2 linked regions of the Saccharomyces cerevisiae S288C genome follow. The protein of the gene in region 2 purifies or fractionates together with the protein of the main gene of each other region. This does not show direct contact. Each region holds a gene or a part of one and is shown on either strand. Other genes may lie near its edges.

What was found. The genes of interacting proteins can lie anywhere in the genome.
Region 1: the proteins of PSA1 (region 2) and TDH1 purify together in Saccharomyces cerevisiae (affinity purification with mass spectrometry; 2 studies listed by BioGRID, with this or other methods). This does not show direct contact.

Annotation. Positions count from the first base shown.
Region 1 is NC_001142.9:336,271-339,769, forward strand, and holds TDH1 (glyceraldehyde-3-phosphate dehydrogenase (phosphorylating) TDH1), read left to right. Parts: upstream 1-2,000; coding exon 2,001-2,999; downstream 3,000-3,499. Other genes in the region: retromer subunit PEP8, read left to right, coding at 1-767; YJL052C-A (uncharacterized protein), read right to left, coding at 1,614-1,733. UniProt on the Saccharomyces cerevisiae protein: Glyceraldehyde-3-phosphate dehydrogenase (GAPDH) involved in glycolysis and gluconeogenesis. Catalyzes the reaction of glyceraldehyde-3-phosphate to 1,3 bis-phosphoglycerate.
Region 2 is NC_001136.10:355,011-358,956, reverse strand, and holds PSA1 (mannose-1-phosphate guanylyltransferase), read left to right. Parts: upstream 1-2,197; coding exon 2,198-3,283; downstream 3,284-3,946. Other genes in the region: transcription factor MBP1, read right to left, coding at 3,579-3,946. UniProt on the Saccharomyces cerevisiae protein: Involved in cell wall synthesis where it is required for glycosylation. Involved in cell cycle progression through cell-size checkpoint.

The sequences.
Region 1 (3,499 bases), on a different chromosome or scaffold from region 2:
GTCCTGCTGGTGAATTACAACATTCTCAAAGTTTCCCATTCCTATTCAGAGATTTGAGTAAAAGATACGAATCTTATAAAGGCAAAAATGTGGATGTAGCTTACTATGTTAAGGTAACAGTTATGAGGAAGTCCACAGACATCTCGAAAATAAAAAGATTTTGGGTCTATCTTTATAATAGTGTAACTACTGCGCCAAATACCCTTTCCGCAAATGAGACAAAGGCAACCACTAATGACATCGCTGGTGGTAACTATGCTGCAGATAATGCGAGTGACAACACGCAAACAAAGAGCACCCAGGGTGAGGCGGCAGACGTTAATCAAGTTTTGCCGATATCACATTCAAATAATGAGCCCAAGCCTGTTAGATTGGATATAGGTATAGAAAATTGCCTTCACATTGAGTTTGAATATGCCAAATCCCAGTACAGCTTAAAAGAAGTCATTGTGGGGCGTATATATTTCCTTTTAACGAGACTAAGGATAAAACATATGGAATTAAGCTTGATCACAAGAGAATCTTCCGGCCTACAAACTTCTAATGTAATGACAGATTCCACTGCTATCCGATACGAAATAATGGATGGGTCTTCAGTGAAAGGTGAAACCATACCCATAAGATTATTCTTGAGCGGCTATGACCTGACGCCCAATATGAGCTGCAACTACTTTAACGTCAAGAATTATTTGAGCTTGGTTATTATCGATGAAGATGGCAGAAGATATTTTAAACAATCAGAAATAACATTGTACAGGACCCGGTAGAAAAGCTCGACCTTAAATAAGGTGAAGATGTGGTTCTCTGTTCTTTCAACATCTCGATATTTAACTTTTCGTTTGGCATTATAGTGTTATACATAACAATATCTAGATTTCAGTAGAAGACTTTTGCGTAAGTTATAACGAACTAAACAAGCAAGAGGTAAAATACGATATAGTAAGAAGCTCAAGTGCTAAAACTTTTTTTCTCTACGAAAGGAGGAATAGCATATGGTTTTCTTCCCTTTTACAGTGCTTCGGAAAAGCACAGCGTTGTCCAAGGGAACAATTTTTCTTCAAGTTAATGCATAAGAAATATCTTTTTTTATGTTTAGCTAAGTAAAAGCAGCTTGGAGTAAAAAAAAAAATGAGTAAATTTCTCGATGGATTAGTTTCTCACAGGTAACATAACAAAAACCAAGAAAAGCCCGCTTCTGAAAACTACAGTTGACTTGTATGCTAAAGGGCCAGACTAATGGGAGGAGAAAAAGAAACGAATGTATATGCTCATTTACACTCTATATCACCATATGGAGGATAAGTTGGGCTGAGCTTCTGATCCAATTTATTCTATCCATTAGTTGCTGATATGTCCCACCAGCCAACACTTGATAGTATCTACTCGCCATTCACTTCCAGCAGCGCCAGTAGGGTTGTTGAGCTTAGTAAAAATGTGCGCACCACAAGCCTACATGACTCCACGTCACATGAAACCACACCGTGGGGCCTTGTTGCGCTAGGAATAGGATATGCGACGAAGACGCTTCTGCTTAGTAACCACACCACATTTTCAGGGGGTCGATCTGCTTGCTTCCTTTACTGTCACGAGCGGCCCATAATCGCGCTTTTTTTTTAAAAGGCGCGAGACAGCAAACAGGAAGCTCGGGTTTCAACCTTCGGAGTGGTCGCAGATCTGGAGACTGGATCTTTACAATACAGTAAGGCAAGCCACCATCTGCTTCTTAGGTGCATGCGACGGTATCCACGTGCAGAACAACATAGTCTGAAGAAGGGGGGGAGGAGCATGTTCATTCTCTGTAGCAGTAAGAGCTTGGTGATAATGACCAAAACTGGAGTCTCGAAATCATATAAATAGACAATATATTTTCACACAATGAGATTTGTAGTACAGTTCTATTCTCTCTCTTGCATAAATAAGAAATTCATCAAGAACTTGGTTTGATATTTCACCAACACACACAAAAAACAGTACTTCACTAAATTTACACACAAAACAAAATGATCAGAATTGCTATTAACGGTTTCGGTAGAATCGGTAGATTGGTCTTGAGATTGGCTTTGCAAAGAAAAGACATTGAGGTTGTTGCTGTCAACGATCCATTTATCTCTAACGATTATGCTGCTTACATGGTCAAGTACGATTCTACTCATGGTAGATACAAGGGTACTGTTTCCCATGACGACAAGCACATCATCATTGATGGTGTCAAGATCGCTACCTACCAAGAAAGAGACCCAGCTAACTTGCCATGGGGTTCTCTAAAGATCGATGTCGCTGTTGACTCCACTGGTGTTTTCAAGGAATTGGACACCGCTCAAAAGCACATTGACGCTGGTGCCAAGAAGGTTGTCATCACTGCTCCATCTTCTTCTGCTCCAATGTTTGTTGTTGGTGTTAACCACACTAAATACACTCCAGACAAGAAGATTGTCTCCAACGCTTCTTGTACCACCAACTGTTTGGCTCCATTGGCCAAGGTTATCAACGATGCTTTCGGTATTGAAGAAGGTTTGATGACCACTGTTCACTCCATGACCGCCACTCAAAAGACTGTTGATGGTCCATCCCACAAGGACTGGAGAGGTGGTAGAACCGCTTCCGGTAACATTATCCCATCCTCTACCGGTGCTGCTAAGGCTGTCGGTAAGGTCTTGCCAGAATTGCAAGGTAAGTTGACCGGTATGGCTTTCAGAGTCCCAACCGTCGATGTTTCCGTTGTTGACTTGACTGTCAAGTTGGAAAAGGAAGCTACTTACGACCAAATCAAGAAGGCTGTTAAGGCTGCCGCTGAAGGTCCAATGAAGGGTGTTTTGGGTTACACCGAAGATGCCGTTGTCTCCTCTGATTTCTTGGGTGACACTCACGCTTCCATCTTCGATGCCTCCGCTGGTATCCAATTGTCTCCAAAGTTCGTCAAGTTGATTTCCTGGTACGATAACGAATACGGTTACTCCGCCAGAGTTGTTGACTTGATCGAATATGTTGCCAAGGCTTAAATAAAGCAATCTTGATGAGGATAATGATTTTTTTTTGAATATACATAAATACTACCGTTTTTCTGCTAGATTTTGTGAAGACGTAAATAAGTACATATTACTTTTTAAGCCAAGACAAGATTAAGCATTAACTTTACCCTTTTCTCTTCTAAGTTTCAATACTAGTTATCACTGTTTAAAAGTTATGGCGAGAACGTCGGCGGTTAAAATATATTACCCTGAACGTGGTGAATTGAAGTTCTAGGATGGTTTAAAGATTTTTCCTTTTTGGGAAATAAGTAAACAATATATTGCTGCCTTTGCAAAACGCACATACCCACAATATGTGACTATTGGCAAAGAACGCATTATCCTTTGAAGAGGTGGATACTGATACTAAGAGAGTCTCTATTCCGGCTCCACTTTTAGTCCAGAGATTACTTGTCTTCTTACGTATCAGAACAAGAAAGCATTTCCAAAGTAATTGCATTTGCCCTTGAGCAGTATATATATACTAAGAA
Region 2 (3,946 bases):
GCATCTGAACACGTAATACTACTATATGACTTGGAACAAATGGCTAATCAATAATCACATATGTTCGACCGCTGCAGGAAAAGAGAAAAGAAAGCAGTTTCTACAAGCAAGAACTTGGAAATACAGACAAACCTCCAGTACTTTATTAGGATTGTCCATTCCTCACCCAGATATGTTAAATTCGATACCAATGTGTTTTGATTCACGCGCAGAAAGAAGGACTTTCCCTGCTCTGCTCGGCAAAAACATACACGTTGTCGACCGAGCACGACTGCCGTTGTCGAAGCCACCACTGTCACTTCTCGTTTAATATCTTTAATCGCATCATCTATAGTTCCTAATTCTGCATTCCTAACACTGTAGCCTATCCAGCAAAATCATTCCCATTTTCTCTTTATATGTGCCTAGATTTTAAAATTTTGCTTAAGATGATTTACATTGAGGGGGGAAACTTGCTTTATCCGCTCCTCCAATTGATTCAAGAAGTATGGGCGCTGACCTACCATCTCAATTTCTTGTTTCACTCGAGAATTGTCACTGAGATAGTAAATGTCTAGAGAATCCTTTGCAACAGGAGATTTCAAATTTATATTCTTTGTGTTCGCATTCGCTTCCCGTCTGTTACTCGTTCCCTTACCATTCTATTATGCATTGCAGATCTGCCAAGTAAAAAAAAAAATACCTTGGTGTACACACCACCCATACATTATCTGACAAGGAAACAAAAGTAATGACAGTAAATTGAAGAACTTGTGATGAGCCAAAAAGAAGAATGTGTGCACTTCTTTTCGTATTTTTATGGTAAAGCCAGTTGGTGGCTTTCTTTGACGATATGAAACCCAGGATCCCATGCTGCCTATGTTGCATTTATGTAATTGTCTGTATGAAGCTCGCATTTTAGAGTTACTACTATGTGCTTTCTATGCAGTTGCTTGCCGCAGCCAAGACGTAGAGATTTCTTAGACGTGCTTTTTATTTCTTATGAAAGTAAAGAGTGTGTATACAACGAACTATGTTAATAATTAGTAGTACCAGAACATTGACTTTCGTAAGGACCAAACGGCATCCCTATCTCGGAAGAACACCACATGATGCAAGTTCTCCTGCCTACGAATAGTTCGTCAGGTGCCAGCACTGAGACCACCCAAACTAAAGGCAATCGAAAACTATACCACGTTTATCGTTATGTTTCGGCGGCTCACCTTGTATCAACCTGCTTGGCAAGCTGCTCTGCGAGGCTCCATTTTTTTACATTTTCAAGAGGAGTACATTTCACCTTAAAAAACGGCACGGAGAAAGCCTAAACTTGGTTGCATATACGCAATTACAAATCTTTTATAACTACTTCTGATTCTGTGCACGACGTGCCACCCGGTACAGTTCAAAGGTCACTATACGCACTGTCGATCGAGCCAACCCAACCCACAGAACATCCTAAAGCTTCAAATCGAAACGCGTACAGTCAGCATTCTTCATGCTGCACCCGATCCTTCTTACCGCGTGCTGGGTGAAAAGCAAGACTAAGAGCAAGACCCTTGGATAACGGCACCAAATGGACTACTTTCGTCCTTTCCTGCAACTCTGACTATAGCTTTTTCTATCATTGCCTAAACCAAACCGTCCACGCCACCTCACCAGCAACGCACAGCATGAAGAACGCGAAAACAGAAAAAAAAAACGCCAAAAGAAACGGCCACCGTGTACTTGCTGGCCAGCTAGAAATGCCTCGGGAGCCACCACGTTTATTTTTATCTCAATCTCTGAAAAACTTTTTTTTCTTTGTTTTTGTCGTTTTTCAGCATGAACAGCGCAGCAATAAACAAACAAACAAACAAACAGACGAACAGACACAGAACCACAGCTGACCGGTAGTAAAGTAAGCTGGTGGTTTCTCGCTTTGTTTTCTTTTTTTCCTTGCCTCGTGGCGCTCTTGTAAACATATATATAGTAGACTTTTCACGTCATTGTTAGAAGTTTCACATAGTCTTGTTTTCTTTTCTCCAAAACTGTATTTTTTTTTTCTTTGTCTATCTTGTTCTCACCTCTTTGACTTTGATAACGTTCATCAAGTGTGCAAACTACTTTACATTCGCTAACTCTTTTCTTCTGTCCAAATATTTTGTTGACTATACAAACAAAATATTATCAGCACAAGACAAGCTACAACTTCAACAAATAAAACATATATAATTGAAAAATGAAAGGTTTAATTTTAGTCGGTGGTTACGGTACCAGATTGAGACCTTTAACTTTGACCGTTCCAAAGCCACTGGTTGAATTCGGTAATAGACCAATGATTTTACACCAAATCGAGGCTTTAGCCAACGCTGGTGTTACTGACATCGTTCTTGCTGTTAATTACAGACCAGAAGTCATGGTGGAAACTTTGAAGAAGTACGAAAAGGAATATGGTGTTAACATCACTTTCTCTGTAGAAACTGAACCATTAGGTACTGCAGGTCCATTGAAATTGGCTGAAGATGTTTTGAAGAAGGACAACTCTCCATTTTTCGTCCTAAACTCCGACGTCATTTGCGAATATCCATTCAAGGAATTGGCTGACTTCCACAAAGCTCACGGTGGTAAAGGTACCATTGTTGCTACCAAGGTCGACGAACCTTCTAAATACGGTGTCATTGTCCATGATATAGCTACTCCAAACTTGATTGACAGATTTGTTGAAAAGCCAAAGGAATTTGTTGGTAACAGAATTAACGCCGGTTTGTACATTTTAAACCCAGAAGTCATTGACTTGATTGAAATGAAGCCAACTTCAATTGAAAAGGAAACTTTCCCAATCTTGGTCGAAGAAAAACAACTATATTCCTTCGATTTGGAAGGTTTCTGGATGGATGTTGGTCAACCAAAGGACTTCTTGTCTGGTACCGTTCTTTACTTGAACTCTTTGGCCAAGAGACAACCAAAAAAATTGGCTACAGGTGCCAACATTGTTGGTAATGCCTTGATCGACCCAACCGCTAAGATTTCCTCCACTGCTAAGATTGGCCCAGACGTGGTTATCGGTCCTAATGTCACCATCGGTGATGGTGTTAGAATCACCAGATCTGTTGTTTTGTGCAACTCCACCATCAAGAACCACTCCTTGGTCAAATCTACCATCGTAGGCTGGAACTCTACCGTTGGTCAATGGTGTCGTTTGGAAGGTGTCACTGTCTTGGGTGACGACGTTGAAGTTAAGGACGAAATCTACATCAACGGTGGTAAAGTCTTACCTCATAAGTCTATCTCCGATAATGTTCCAAAGGAAGCTATTATTATGTGAGTTAGGAAAACGAACTGTAATGAATATAATCTATATCACTCATCTGTTTTTGTTAATTTTATTTTAGCCAATATCATTATAAAAAGAGGAAAACATGCACAGAAAAAGCACTGCTTACTGTTATGTCTTAGTTTGTAATTGAAAATGAAAAATAAAAAAAAAAAAGAAAATAAAGAAAAAAAGGTTGATCCTTATGTAACTTTTTATTTACGTAGAAGTTAATAAATATTATCTCATTGTTTTATCTATTTTTCAGTATATGGATACATGTAAAGTTCCTCTATTTATGTATATTTTATGCATGACTATTCGCGTTTGAGATTGTGATGATCTGTTCTGCGCCCTTATTTTTATTATTGTTGGCTATCAATGTCTGTAGTATTACATCCAGCGAACTATCTACTTCTTCAATATTCATTTCCGTACCTTCCCTGATAATCCGTCTATATTTATGAATCTTGGCATTGTCTTCAAATTTCTTCACCAAGGAACTCAATTTGTTTTTCCTTTGTAATTGCAACATCGTTAGTTCTTGAGCCAATTCCAACCTTTCCAGCGTATTATTATCTTTCTCAACTGTGTTATTGGTGGTAGCCTGAGTTTCATCTTCTATTAATTTGTTCAATAAAACCGTTTGCCTGTATTCCAGCTTTTGTTTTATCA